2 linked regions of the Stegostoma tigrinum genome follow. The protein of the gene in region 1 purifies or fractionates together with the protein of each later gene. This does not show direct contact. Links are inferred from orthologs where the notes say so. Each region holds a gene or a part of one and is shown on either strand. Other genes may lie near its edges.

Region 1 (7,764 bases):
AATGGTAGCAAATAATAAAAGCAAATAGAGTGTACAATTAACATAAATGATAATACTGACTAACTTTAACAGTCACCTGGTGAAATTCAATTAAGAAAAGCTCAAGCAAAATGAAGGGCACATTGTGTTTAAATAGTTTGGTTGAGTTTTTTTTAAATGAGGTAACAGTGAGGGTTGAAAGGGAAGTATGGTTGATGTACAATAGACTTTCACAAGAGAGTCATAAAGTGTCATATAAACTGGTTTCTAAGTTTGAGCTCATGGTATGAAAGATACAGCAATAGTTGAGGTTAAAAAAAGGCTGAATTACAGGAAATGTGGTACTCATACAATTGACCCTGTACAATTGTTTTCCAGATTGGAAGAAGGTATACAGTGGGAATTGCCTACAACGTCAGGATCACTGTTTTTCGAAATACATAAATTGATGGCTCAGAGTACAGGTGCCATTGCAAAATTTGCCAATTACTCATTTGGAAGCATTCTGAACAGAAAAGAAGATAGTGATAAACTTCAAGAGGAAATAGTCTGATAGAATGGGTGGACTAGTGGCAGAAAATGAGACAAATAGCCCACTTGACTGCCACATCATCGACCATCTTCAACATTCACACCTACCAACCTTGGCACATCATAGCTGCATTGATCATTGTCTACAAGATGCAGAAATCCTTGAAAAACAGTTTCCAAGAGTATAAGCTTCCACCGTTTTGAAGGACATCATCTATACACAGACTAGAACACCTCCAACATTCTCCAACTCACATATCATATTTCAAAATATACAAGTGATCCTGAAATTCACAAGAACATTCTGGATATACTTGACCAAATGAAATGGAGTAGTTCAAGATGTCTCATTCATTGCATGGTCAAACAGTTTGGGACAGGCAATGAATGCTGCCTTTCAGCAACTCCCACATCCCATGAATGAAGATCTATTTTAAACAAGGCATTTCAATTTCAATAGGTCAGGTAGAAACCGAAAGAACTGCGGATGCTGTGAATCAGGAACAAAAATAAAGTTGCTGGAAAAGCTCAGCAGATCTGGCAGCATCTGTGAAGAAAAAAAAAGTTAACGTTTCGGATCCGGTGACCCTTCATCAGAACTACAGAAGGGTTAGACAATAGACAATAGGTGCTGGAGTAGGCCACTCGGCCCTTCGAGCCAGCACCACCATCCATTATGATCATGGCTGATCATCCACAATCAGTATCCTGTTCCCGCCTTATCCCCATAACCCTTGATTCCTCTATCTTTAAGAGCTCTATCTATCTCTTTCTTGAAAGTATCCAGAGACTTGGCCTCCACTACCTTCTGGGGCAGAGCATTCCATATATCCACCACTCTCTGGGTGAAGAAGTTTTTCCTCAATACTGTTCTAAATGGCCTACCCCTTATTTTTAAACTGTGTCCTCTGGTTCTGGACTCACCCATCAGCAGAAACATGCTTCCTGCCTCCACCTCCACAGTGTCCAATCCCTTAATAATCTTATACGCCTCAATCAGATCCCCTCTCATCCTCCTAAACACAAGTGTATACAAGTCCAGTCGCTCCAATCTTTCAACATATGATAGTTCTGCCATTCCAGGAATTGACCTCGTGAACCTACGCTGCACTCCCTCAATAGCAAGAATGTCCTTCCTCAAATTTGGAGACCAAAACTGCACACAATACTCCAGGTGTGGTCTCACCAGGGCCCTGTAAGGCTGCAGGAGGACCTCTCTGCTCCTATACTCAATTCCTCTTGTTATGAAGGCCAGCATGCTATTAGCTTTCTTCACTGCCTGCTGTACCTGCATGCTTGCTTTCATTGATTGATGTACAAGAACACCTAGATCTCGTTGTGCTTCCCCTTTACCTAACTTGACTCCATTGAGATAGTAATCTGCCTTCCTGTTCTTGCCACCAAAGTGTATAACCGCACATTTATCCACATTAAACTGCATCTTCCATGCATCCGTCCACTCACCTAGCCTGTCCAAGTCACCCTGTATTCTCATAACATCCTCCTCACATTTCACACTGCCACCCAACGTCGTGTCATTGGCAAATTTGCTAATATTACTTTTAATGCCTTTGTCTATATCATTAATATATATCGTAAACAGCTGCGGTCCCAGTACCGAACCTTGTGGTACCCCACTGGTCACTGCCTGCCATTCTGAAAGGGACCCGTTTATCACTACTCCTTGCTTTCTGCCAACCAGCCAATTTTCAATCCAACTCAGTATTTTGCCCCCAATACCATGTGCCCTAATTTTGTTCACCAATCTCCTATGCGGGACTTGATCAAAGGCTTTCTGAAAGTCCAGGTACACTACATCCACTGGTTCTCCCTTATCCATCTTCATAGATACATACTCAAAAAATTCCAGAAGATTAGTCAAGCACAATTTCCCCTTCGTAAATCCATGCTGACTCTGACCAATTCTGTTACTGCTATCCAAATGAGTCGTAATTTCATCTTTCCCACCACTGACATCAGGATAACCGGTCTATAATTTCCTGTTTTCTCTCTCCCTCCTTTCTTGAAAAGTAGGACAACATTTGCCACCCTCCAATCCGCAGGAACTGATCCTGAATCTACAGAACCTTGGAAGATAATTACCAACGCATCCACAATTTCTAGAGCCACCTCCTTAAGTACCCTGGGATGAAGACCATCAGGTCCCGGGGACTTATCGGCCTTCAGTCCTAACAGTCTATCCAACAACATTTCCTGCCTAATATAAATACCCTTCAGTTCGTCCATTACCCTAGGTCCTTCAGCCACTATTGCGTCTGGGAGATTGCTTGTGTCTTCCCTAGTGAAGACAGATCCAAAGTACCTATTCAACTCTTCTGCCATTTCCTTGTTCCCCATAATAAATTCACCCATTTCTGACTTCAAGGGCCCAATTTTAGTCTTAACCATTTTTTTTTCTTTTCACATACCTAAAAAAGCTTTTACTATCCTCCTTTATATTTTTGGCCAGTTTGCCTTCATAGCTCATTTTTTCCTGTGTATTGCCTTTTTAGTTATCCGCCATTGCTCTTTAAAAGCTTCCCAGTCCTCCAGCTTCCCACTCATCTTTGCTATGTTATACTTCTTTTTTATCTTTATACAGTCCATAACTTCCCTCGTCAGCAACAGCCGCCCCTGCCTCCCCTTAGGATCTTTCTTCCTCTTTGGTATGAACTGATCCTGCACCTTCTGCATTATATCCAGAAATACCTGCCATTGTTGTTCCACTGCCATCCCTGCTGGGGTACTGTACCATTGAACTTTGGCCAGCTCCCCCCTCATAGCTCCACAGTTCCCTTTATTCAACTGCAATACTGACACTTCCGATTCTCCCTTCTCCCTCTCAAACTGCAGATTAAAAGTTATCATATTATGGTCACTACCTCATAATGGCTCCTTTACTTTGAGGTCCCTGATCAAATCCGGTTCATTGCACAACACCAGATCCAGAATTGCCTCCTCCCTGGTAGGTTCCAGTACAAGCTGTTCTAAGAATCCATCTCAGAGGCACTCCACAAACTCCCTTTCTTGGGGTCCAGTACCATCCTGATTCTCCCAGTCTACCTGCATGTTGAAATCTCCCATAACAACTGTAGTGTTACCCGTTAGGATTTCAGTTCTGATGAAGGGGTCACCCGAACCGAAACGTTAACTTTTTTTTCTTCACAGATGTGCCAGACCTGCTGAGCTTTTCCAGCAACTTTGTTTTTGTTCAACAGATCAGGTGTTTTCTTTGTGGTCAAACTGTTTTAAATTATTCTTAGCAGCAAGAGAAAGCACATCATCTCATCGTTGGCAGTCCAGTAACAAACTGCCTAATAAACTGGTATAAAAACAGAACGCGTTGGAAAAAACTTGGTCAGCGCATCATCACTGAGGTTCAATACGAAACCTCCACAAGCTACTCATTGGCCTGCTCAGGCAGTTAACAAATGCACTACAACAGGTGTCAGAAAAGCCGGAACCTCCTTAGTGTTGACCTGCCTAATCCCGGGCCACTGTCCAGAAGGAATGAACACGAAGTGCAATGTTGTACTGTTGTATTCCACTCCAAATCTTCGTTACCGGAGGAGATAGAGGCGAACTTCCCACAGATAATCGTAAACGCAGGCACTGCTACCGCGGCACGGTGGTTCGTTCAGTCGTCATGCTCGGGCGAATGTCTGTGTGGAGTTTACACATTCTCCCTGTGTCTGCATGGGTTTCCTCCCACAGTCCAAAGATGTGCAGTTTAGGTGGATTGGCCATTGTGTGCCGGATTGTACAGATTAGGTGAATTGACCTGGGCAATATGCAAGGTTACAAGGGAATACGGTAGGAGGCGGAAGTGGGTTTGGGTGAGATGCTCTTCGGAGAGTTGGTGTGGAGTCGATAGGCCAAATGGTCTGCTTCCACACTGGATGGATTCAGCGATCAGTGTTAATGACCAGGAGCGTGGCAGCATTTTGACAGGTGCTTATTTTTCCGGGGGGGGGTGATATCGTTCACAATCCGAACTTCACTGTCCCCTCAATACGGTTCACTTCGAGGTATAGTCTCAGTAACCCCATACGAAGTAGTTTCACTTACCTTATTGAACCGGCAAAGATGAACTTCAAACAAGCTCTATTACGGTCCGGCTTCCTCAACATTCCAACTCCCCTCCACCGGCGCCACCGGAACACGTCAACCGTCAACGCGCTGGCGTCAGGCGCCATTGAATGTGGGCATTGCGCATGCCTGTAGGGGGCCATCTTCACCGGCTTTTTTTCACTCCTGAGGAGCACGTTTGTAGTGTGAAGCTAAAACTTGAGAGGATTTGTCACATCAGACAGACAAGAGATAATACTTATGAGGCGTTGGCTTGGGCAGTGGCTGCTACTTGCACCTTCACAGCGTCCGCTCAGGTAAAGGAGTGATCAGAGGAGTGTATTCGGTGCAAGGAAGATTTCCATGTGACTCAGGGCAGGGGTGGGGTAAGAGTTTGTGAGAGGGAGGCAGTGAGCAAGAACGTGGACATCATGCAGGCCTCGGGCTCATTGCCTTACATAGGCCGCAAACGAGTCTACCTGTTAATAATTTTTGGGCAATAAGCACAGCATTCGCTGGAGATGGCAGTGCTGTTACAGGCCTTAAATCTTAACGTTAAGGCGAGGAGAGTTGGGCAGAAGATGACGTATTTGTTAAAACAGTTGGTTTTTCACGCTAATCAAATTCTGAAGAAGTGTAGCCGTTTGAATTATATTACTCCATCATGCAATGAATCAATTAAATGCTGTAGGTGTTCAAGTTTGAAACGTATATATCACGCGCAAGTTTGAGAGGGGTTGTGGCTTTATCATTGTCTTTCATTTGTCAAAAAATTGAACTATAAATAGCATTCTGGTAAAAATTCTGTTAAGCTGCGAACTTTTGCCGTACTAAATGCACTACTCTGAAATACACTGTGATGAACGTCTCAAAACCTAAAATTGTTGTTTTCTTCATTGAGTTGTGTCTTACCTTGTTGAGATTAGTTAAAATTAGTTTTGTTTGTAGAAAATAAGGCTGAAAACCTATCACGTTTATTGAGAGGCAGAGGTTTGAAGCATTTCTTCACCTCCCTAAGGAAACATTTTTTTATATCACAGTTTGTGGGTTTGTCTGCGTTTGAGTCTAATATTGATCTTGTCGCATTAATCTGAAAAATGACTTAGTTATGCAATACTTATTAAATATTCTTCAGTTTAATGGGCATGTGTTTTGGGTTTTTTCTTAAATATTTTAGAGGTGTCACTGACAAGGCCAGGTTTTATTACTCATTACTAACTTCTCTCGAGATAGTCGGAACTGCTGACTTACTTACTTACACCACACAAACTGTGTAGATTTATGTTCAGTGTTATTAGAAAGGAACCGCTAGGATTTTGATCTGCCAAGTGATAGTGATAGTTTGAAATCTGATCATGAAAGTAAGAGGACCTCGGTGAAATGGCAATCATAATGTAAATGGTATTAATTAAACTGGAGTTCAATTTATACCTTTCAGACCAATAAAACATTTGGTTAACAAAAGCCTAATATGATAGTGCTGTCACTTTAAGTGGTTATTTTGTCCATTTTTTTGGAGAGATTATACAGCAGAAGTATTGAGCTGGCTACTGGAGACCGCTTGAGTAAACAGCTTGGCAGGCCTTTGATGTTTTGCTTTAAAATAGCCTGATTGGTATGGCCAGCTCTCTGATCCACTTTTCTGGGTTTTGATTTTGTCTGTAGCATCAGAAGCTATTGGGGTGTCAACAGAGTTGGATGCTTCAGTGACTACCTCGCTGCAACTTTCTGAATTTTCTCTTGATGTTTCTTTCTCCTGGATGGGAGAACTGCATGTGAGAATTTGTCTGAATTTTCCTTTTTTTTTGCCAAGGGGAGTGTTTGTAGAATGTTACTATGTTGGAACAGTTAATTAGTAATAGTTACTATATATTACTATTAAGTCTTCCAATAGAATTAAATTATTCTAAGTTCTTTGGTTGTATTTTAGTGACAGTGTTTAAATTGTTTTCCTTCACATTGAGTAGATTGACCAGTCTCATTTTATCTGGAACAGACACTTAGATTTGCTTTTAAAATTAAAAGAAAACTCAGGGTCTAGACTACCCTAAAATAATTTGAGGGTGTTTGGTCTGATCCATAACACCAAATGGCAATTTCCCACCAAGTCACCTGTCAGCCATCATTGTGCAGAGAATAGTTGCAACAGAGATTTTTTTTAGAAAAAGGCAGTATTTAATTCAATGTTTACTAATTAAGAAGCAATAGATATAGGATTTCCCATGATTCTTGTAGTTTACATCTTAAAGGCAGGAATTCTTTCTCTGACCTCTTCACTGAGCTTTATTCTTATTTCCCTGTTCTGTTTTGGCTGTGCCTGGGGCCCAATCTACTTGATCATTTCTTCCGAAAGCTTCTCTGCTATTCTTATTTTCACTAGTACTTGCTGAGTATTATTTTTCCCAAGGCCATAATTATCCTAAACCAAATTATTACCGCTTAAACTCACTTTTGACCACTTCCAATCTGGGCCAAGACGAACTTTGTCCTTGGGTCTTAAAATGTGTGGCTAATTGGCTGGATATGTCCGTTTGTTAATTTTCCAAAATTCCAGGGTTTCAGGAAGGATTCCAATGGACTAGAAAGTTACAAGTATAACCTTGTCAAAAAAGGGGAGGGCGGGCAGAAAAAGGGTATCTTTTATAGTCAGCTTGATAGCTTGCATATGGAAGTTAATTGTTAGAGATTGCAGCTCCACACTTCCAAAAGAAACCAGAGGTAATCAGGAAGATTTATCATGGTTTCATCAAAAGAGAATCATGTTTAGCCAATTTATTGGAGTTAATTGTAGGAATAGCATACATCGTGGATGAGGGAGAGCTTATTTGTGTAATAGACGTGGGTTTCCAAGGATCACTGCACAAAATAAAAGCCCATAATGTATCTGGTAACATATTAGCAGAGAGAAAAGGCTGACAGAAGATCATATAGAGGGTCTTTGGTAGGATGTGATGAGTGGGAGGGTTCTGCAAGAGACTCTGCTAAGGCGGCAGCTTTCACAACTTAGATCAATAAATTAGGTGAAAGGAGTGAAAGGTATGGTAACTAAAGTCACACAACAATTGATAGGAAAGAATATTGTGAAGAAACCTTAGAATTTGCGGACAAATAATTGGAGAGTGGCAAAAATCTAGTTATTAGAAGATAATGTGATTAAAATGTGAGTTGTCAGCGAGTCGATCTAGA
Region 2 (7,423 bases), on another chromosome or scaffold:
CAGCAAGCTCTCTCATGAGTTGACAACCTGTTTGAAGAGGTATCCTGTAACACAATACACTATTCTGAATACATTGCTCCTGTACAGATCCAAAATTATACAAGTTTTACAATGACTTGAGTATTCTTTATCAGTAAATAAACCTATAACACATGGGATTAGAGACCGGCCATTCAAACATTCAATGAGATCATGGTTAATCTGATAATCCTCAACTCCACTTTCCAACCCTTTTCCCATGGTCCTTGGTTCCTTCACTGATTAAAAATCTGCCTCAGCCTGGAATATACTTAATAATGCAGCCTTGCAGTCCTCTATGGTAAAGAATTCCACACATTCACTATCCTCTGAGACAAGATATTCCTCATCTGTCCTAATTGGCAACCCCTTGTTCTGAGATTCTGCCCCAGTCCTAAACTCTCTCGCAAGGGGAAACAAACTTTCCCGCACCTACCAGGTCAAATTTCCCAAAAATGTCAACCTCAGATTATAATCTATTATTAGTCAACGTCACTGAAACAATTCCTCTGAAACGAATAATAATGAAACACTACCTTTCCACCACCTCTACCCTTCTCCCTGACAACTGTCCGAGGCCAAACCAGATCATTTACAACCTTGGTGGGACATATGACTCTGTCTACAACATTACTTGAGAATGCATAGTTCCATTATTGTGACACTGTCTAACTCTGCCCTGTCTCTGCTCATCTGCTGATGAAAGCCTCATCACTTCCAGTGTTATTTCAAGACTGTTGCACCACATCCTGGCTAGCACTCAATATTCTATCCTCCATAAACTGAAGGTCACCCAAAACTCTGCTGCCCTACTCCTAACATACATAGAATCATTTTCATTCATTACCATGTCCTCACTGACTTACATTACAAACCCATTTTAAAAATCATAGTTTTTGTTTCAGAGCCTTGCATCACCTTCCCCCACCCTCAAACCCATCTTAAAATTTCCTCAAGGCCCACAGTTGTCTACCATATTGGTGCTTTGCCACTTCTGGCCACTCCAGCATTTTGATTTTAATTAAACTGCACTAGGATCTTAGCCTTAAGGTCCTAAGTGCTGGAGTTCCCTCAGAAAACTCTTTTAAACCACTCCTTGAAACATATCTCTTTGACCAAACTTTTTGTCAGTTGCCTTAATATCTCCTTATGAGGCTCAATATTAAATAATGCCCCTGCAAAGTGTCTTCAGACTCACTATTTTAAAGGTGTTTTATAAATACAAATGAAAACAAAGCGCTGCTGCAACTCAGCATGTCAGCATTTGTAGAAAGAGAAACCGAGTCAGCGTTTCAAGTCCAGTACAAATGTTAAGATCTGTCCCAAAGGAAATATTGTGAACAGTCATATCAAACTTAACGTATCAAATGTTAACTCAGTTTCTTTCTCCACAGACACTGCCAGACCTGCTGGGTTTCTCCAGTTATTCCAGATTCTGAAGTATCTTGTTTTAAGTTTTCTAAATAAAAGTTGCAGATCCTTGAAAGTCAAAGAGCATTTACACTTTTAGATTTGTGTCTGGTAGTTTTCCAGCTGATCCAGATATGAAATTTAGATTTGTGCTGGAAGTAATAACACCACAACAAGTGACCTCAAAAGGAACAAGAGTAGATCTGTCAACCCATTTGAGCCATTTTCGCTATTCAGCTAGGTCATGGTTGATTCCATGTGCCAAAGCAATTTCTTGAACTCCCTCCAAGATTTTGGCTTCACTTGAGAATTAGTGATGCAAATCAAACAGATGTGTAGAACACCGCCAAAAACCACTCACTATAATATGTTTTAAGGAAGAGAGTCAGTTAATAGTTATATAAAAATTCAATTCCAAACATTTGCTACGATGGCAACAAACAGGGCCAAGTTTGGGATATATTACAAAAATATTCAAAGCAAAGAACTGAAAACAATGATCAACAAATGCATTATGGAGAACCGTCTTTACTCATTTATGTCACTGTTTCACAATTCTGCATTTTCAATAGAACCCCACTTTCCAGGATTACTCATGTAAAATGTGTTCTTGAGAGACGAACAGGAGGCACTCGAAGACTGTGTAATAACATCTCAGTACGAGTCAGGTCCTTCTGGAAGGGAGGTCTTGATGGGAACTGTATTTATCTAGCATCTTTCAGGGCATACCAAAAGCACTTTACACCCAGTTAAGTACTTTTGAAACATAATCATTATTGCATTCCAGAATTTTTAGAATGAATTTTCACAGCAAGCTCCTACGCAACAATGTATTCCCTCATGTTTAACTGTGTACAATACAGACTGCTTTAACATGCTAAACCCTATGACTGCTGTACAACTGTACTCACAGCTTACCTCTGATCCAATCTTAGCACCATTTGCCGAGCCATAGCGTCGTCCCTCAGTTTCTCCCAAATGACTTCCTTCTGTAAACCCTTCCTGATAACCTTCCCCACGAAATCTGCCAACCACACGAAAAATTCAACAAGGAGAGATGCAATCAACCTTAGAAAAGAATTTGGGGTGGCCAGCAAAAGAGGGGGTGGTGGGAGGTTAAAATAGTATCAGAGATAATGGGAACTGCAGATGCTGGAGATTCCAAGATAATAAAATGTGAGGCTGGATGAACACAGCAGGCCAAGCAGCATCTCAGGAGCACAAAAGGAGGTTATTGGGTGCAGAGGGGGTAGCAGTTACCATTCAATCACCAGGGCGATGCTGTCTGTGTGGGTGGGGGCTATTATTCGGGGGTACGTTTACAGGAATGTCTGGGGGGAGGTGTTTATTCAGGGGGTATACTGAGGGGCGTGTTTATTACTGATACACCACCAGACCGGGGGGTGGCTGTTCATGACGGTACATTCAGGGACAGGGTATTATTTGGGGTATTTTTGAGGCGGGGTGATTTTTTTTTGTGGGGTGGGGGGCTGTTTAGGGAGTTTATTACCGATCCTCCGCCAGAACGATGCTGTCGAACAAATCGCCGCCGGGATCCGCCATTGGAAGAGAAGCGCATGCGCGCCCGGGCCCGGCGCTGCGCCCGCGCAGTTTCCGTGAAATCATCTTAAAGGGCCCACGACCCACTTTTTAAACAGGACCCCACTGCAATTCTAAATGCGCAGCGGTGGTGTCCCTGCCTCTGAGGCAGGAGGCCTGAGTTCCAGTCCCACCTACTGCTCAGGTGTGCAATAACATCTCTGAGCAGGCTGATTAGAAAATATCTGAGACAGTCCCTGCTTTACAACATCAGCTGAAACTGGAATCATACAGAATTTGGAGTCATACAGCCCAGAAAGAGACCCTTCAGCCCAACATTTTCCCCCTTTATACATTCACAGGATGAGGGCGTGACTGGCTAGGCCCATTCCTATTTGCCCAGAGGGCAGTCAAGAGTCAACGACATTGCTGTGGGTTTTGAGTCACAAATAGGCCAGACCAGGTAAGGATGGTAGTTATCATCCCTAAGGAAATTGACTACTAAAGAAATTGTATCTCTTGTTAAGCAGAAGAGGGAGGCTTATGTGACGATGAGACGAGATGGTTCAGATGTGGCGATGGAGAGTTACAGATTAGCTTGGAAGAATTTAAAGAGAGAGTTAAGAAGAGCAAGGAGGGGACATGAGCAGACATCGGCAGGTAGAATAAAGGAGAACCCTAAAGCTTTCTATAGGTATGTGAGGAGTAAGAGGATGACTATGGTAGGAATAGGGCCAGTTAAAGGCCGAAGTGGGAAGTTGTGTGTGAACCCTGTGGAGATCGGAGAGGTGCTAAATGATTATTTCTCATCTGTTTTCACTGAGGAACAGGAGAATATTGTAGAGGAGACGACTGAGTTATGGACTACTAGAATTGAAAGGATTGAGGTTAGTAAGGAGGAGGTGTTATCAATTCGAGAAGGTGTGAAGGTAGATAAATCCCCTGGGCTGGAGGGTATTTTTCTAAGGATTCTCTGGGAAGCCAGGGAGGAGGTGGCGGAGCCTTTGGCCTTGATCCTTGAGTCCTCATTGTCTACAGGTTTAGTACCAGAGGACTGGAGGATTGCAAATGTTGTGCCCATGTTCAAGAAGGGCAGTAGAGATGACCCAGGTAATTAAAGACCTGTGAGCCTTACGTCTGTTGTAGGAAAAGTTTTGGAAAGGATTATAAGAGATAGGATTCATAATCATCTAGCAAGCAACAATTTGATTGGAGATAGTCAGCATGGATTCGTCAAGGGCAGGTCGTGTCTCACAAACCTCACTGAGTTTTTTGAGAAGGTGACCAAGCATGTGGATGAGGGTAGGGCAGTTGACGTGGTGTACATGGACTTCAGTAAAGCCTTTGATAAGGTTCTACATGGTAGGCTAATGGAGAAAATACAGAGGCACGGGACTGAGGAGATTTAGCAGTTTGGATTAGAAACTGGCTTTCTGTAAGAAGGCAACGAGTGGTGGTTGATGGAAAATATTCAGCCTAGAGTCAGGTTACTAGTGGTATGCCTTAAGGATCTGTTGTGGGACCACTGCTGCTTGTCATTTTTATAAATGACTTGGACGCAGGCATAAGTGGATGGGTTAGTAAGTTTGCAGATGACACTAAAGTCAGTGGAGTGGTGGACAGTGTGGAAGAATGTTGCAGGTCGCAGGGAGACTCGGATAAACTGCAGAATTGGGCTGAAAGGTGGAAAATGGAGTTCAATGTGGATAAATGTGAGGTGATTCACTTTGGGAAGAATAAAAGGAAGGCAGAATACTGGGTCAGTGGAAAGATTCTTGGTTGTGTGGATGTGCAGAGGGATCTTGGTATCCATGTACATAGATCCATGAAAGTTGCCACCCGGGTTGATAGTGCTGTTAAGAAGGTTTACGGTAGAGGGAGACGACTGAGTTATGGACTACTAGAATTGGTAGAGGGATTGAGTTCCGGAGCCAAGATGTCATGCTGCAACTGTACAAAACGCTAGTGCGGCCTCATTTGGAATATTGCATGCAGTGCTGGTCGCCCCTTTACAGGAAGGATGTGGAAGCATTGGAAAAGGTGCAGAGAAGATTTACGAGGATGTTGCCTGGTCTGGAGCGAATGCCTTATGAAGAAAGGCTGAGGGACTTGGGTCTGTTCTCATTGGAGTGAAGGAGGCTAAGAGGGGATTTAATAGAGACATACAAGATAATCAGAGGATTAGGTAGGGTGGACAGTGAGAGCCTTTTTCCGAGGATGATGACATCAGCTTGTACAAGGGGGCATAGCTACAAATTGAGGGGTGATAGATTTAAGACAGATGTCAGAGGCAGGTTCTTTACTCAGAGAGTGGTAAGGGTGTGGAACGCCCTGCCTGCCAATGTAGTTAACTCAGCCACATTAGGGGCATTTAAACAGTCCTTGGATAAGCAGATGGATGATGATGGGATAGTGTAGGGGGATGGGCTTAGATTAGTTCACAGGTCGGCGCAACATCGAGGGACGAAGGGCCTGTTCTGTGCTGTATTGTTCTCTGTTCTATGTTCTATGTTCTAAAGGGCATTAGTGAACCAAATGGGGTTTTCCTGACAATCAACAATGTGTTCACAGTCACGATTAGGTTCTTTATTCTAGATATTTATTGAATTCAAATTCCACAATCTGCTGTGTCAGGATTCAAACCCAGCCCCCCAGAACATAATGTGTCTCTGAATTAGCAGTTCAGCAATAATACCTCTAGGCCATTGACTTCCATTGGTCGACAAAATCATGAAGGGTATAGACAGGGTGGATAGCAAGAAGCTTTGTCCCAGAGTGGGGGATTCAATTACTAGGGGTCATGAGTTCAAAGTGAGAGGAGGAAAGTTTAAGGGAGATATACGTGGAAAGTTCTTTACACAGAGGGTGGTGGGTGCCTGGAACGCGTTCCCAGCGGAGGTGGTAGACGCAGACACGTTAGTGTCTTTTAAGGTATATTTGGACAGGTACATGGATGAGCAGGGAGCAAATGGACACAGACCGTTAGAAAATAGATGACAGGTTAGACAGAGGATCTTGATCGGAGCAGGCTTGGAGGGCCGAAGGGCCTGCTCCTGTGCTGTAGGTTTCTTTGTTTCTTTGATTGCCTTTCATTTTGTTTTCCCCTTTCTAGCCAGCCCAGACACGACATTAATTGACACATTTCCCAGACAGAACTAGTGCCATTTGGCCCGTATCCCTCTATACTTTTCCTATTCATGTCTGTCCAAATATCTTTTAAATGTTGTAATTGTACCAGCCTCTGCCACATCCTCTGGCAGTTCATTCTATATATACACCACCCTCCGTGTGTAAACGTTGCCCTCAGGCCACTTGTAAAATCTTACCCTTCTCACCTTATACCTATGTCCTCTAGTTTTAAACTCTCCTAACCTGGGGAAAAAAAGACCTTGGCTATTCACCTTATCCATACCCCTCATAACGCTATAAACATCAATAAGGTCACCCCTCAGTCTCCTATGCTTCAAGGGAGAAACTCCCAGCCTATGCAGCCTCCCTTAAACTCAAACCTTCCAGTCTCAGTATATCCTTATAAATCTTTTTCACACATTACCAATTTAATAATATCCTTCCCCATACCAGGATGACCAGAATTGTATGCAGTAATACCAATCTTCCTTCCAGGGTGGCGGATCTGTAGGGCTCCTGACCTAGAGTTCCTCATTTTGTTTTCCCCTTTCTAGCCAGCCCAGTCTCGACATTAAGCCCAGCACGGACTCCCAGCCTCGAGATGAAGCCCAGCACGGACTCCCAGCCTCAAGATGAAGCCCAGCACAGATTCCCAGCCCTGGAATGAAGCTCAGCGCGGACTCCCAGCCTCAAGGTGAAGCCCAGCGTGGACTTCTCGCCTCGAGGTGTAGCCCAATGAAGACTCCCAGCCCCGAAGTGAAGCCCAGCACGGACTCCCAGCCCCGAGGTGAAGCCCAGCGCAGACTCCCAGCCCCGAGGTGAAGCCCAGCGCGGACTCCCAGCCCTGAGGTGAAGCCCAGCACGGACTCCCAGCCCTGAAGTGAAGCTCAGCGTGGGCTCCCAACCTCGAGGTGAAACCCAGCGCAGACTCCCAGCCTCAAAGTGAAGCCCAGCACAGATTCCCAGTCTCAAGATGAAGCCCAGCGTAGGCTCCCAGCCTCAAGGTGAAGCCCAGCACGGACTCCCAGCCTCGAGGTGAAGCCCAGCCCGGACTCCCAGTCTCGAGGTGAAGCCCAGCACGGACTCCCGGCCTCGAGGTGGAGCCCAGCATAGACACCCAGCCTCAAGATGAAGCCCAGCACAGACTCCCAGCCTTGAGGTGAAGCCCAGCGTGGACAACCAGACTCAAAGTGAAGCCCAGCATGGACTCCAAGCCCTGAGGTGGAGCCCAGCACAGATTCCAAGACCCAAGTTGAAGCCCAACGCAGACTCCCAGCCTCGAGGTGGAGCCCAGCGCGGACTCCCAGCCCCAAGGTGGAGCCCAGCA

What was found.
Region 2: the proteins of abce1 (region 1) and lto1 purify together in Homo sapiens (affinity purification with mass spectrometry; 4 studies listed by BioGRID and IntAct, with this or other methods). This does not show direct contact. The link is inferred for Stegostoma tigrinum from reciprocal best matches to the Homo sapiens genes ABCE1 and LTO1.

Annotation. Positions count from the first base shown.
Region 1 is NC_081354.1:46,099,418-46,107,181, forward strand, and holds the start of abce1 (ATP-binding cassette sub-family E member 1), read left to right. Parts: upstream 1-4,706; 5' UTR 4,707-4,895; intron 4,896-7,764. UniProt on the Homo sapiens protein: Nucleoside-triphosphatase (NTPase) involved in ribosome recycling by mediating ribosome disassembly. Able to hydrolyze ATP, GTP, UTP and CTP. Splits ribosomes into free 60S subunits and tRNA- and mRNA-bound 40S subunits.
Region 2 is NC_081370.1:61,764,195-61,771,617, forward strand, and holds the start of lto1 (protein LTO1 homolog), read right to left. Parts: upstream 3,040-7,423; 5' UTR 2,992-3,039; coding exon 2,939-2,991; intron 2,453-2,938; coding exon 2,347-2,452; intron 1-2,346. UniProt on the Homo sapiens protein: The complex LTO1:YAE1 functions as a target specific adapter that probably recruits apo-ABCE1 to the cytosolic iron-sulfur protein assembly (CIA) complex machinery. May be required for biogenesis of the large ribosomal subunit and initiation of translation.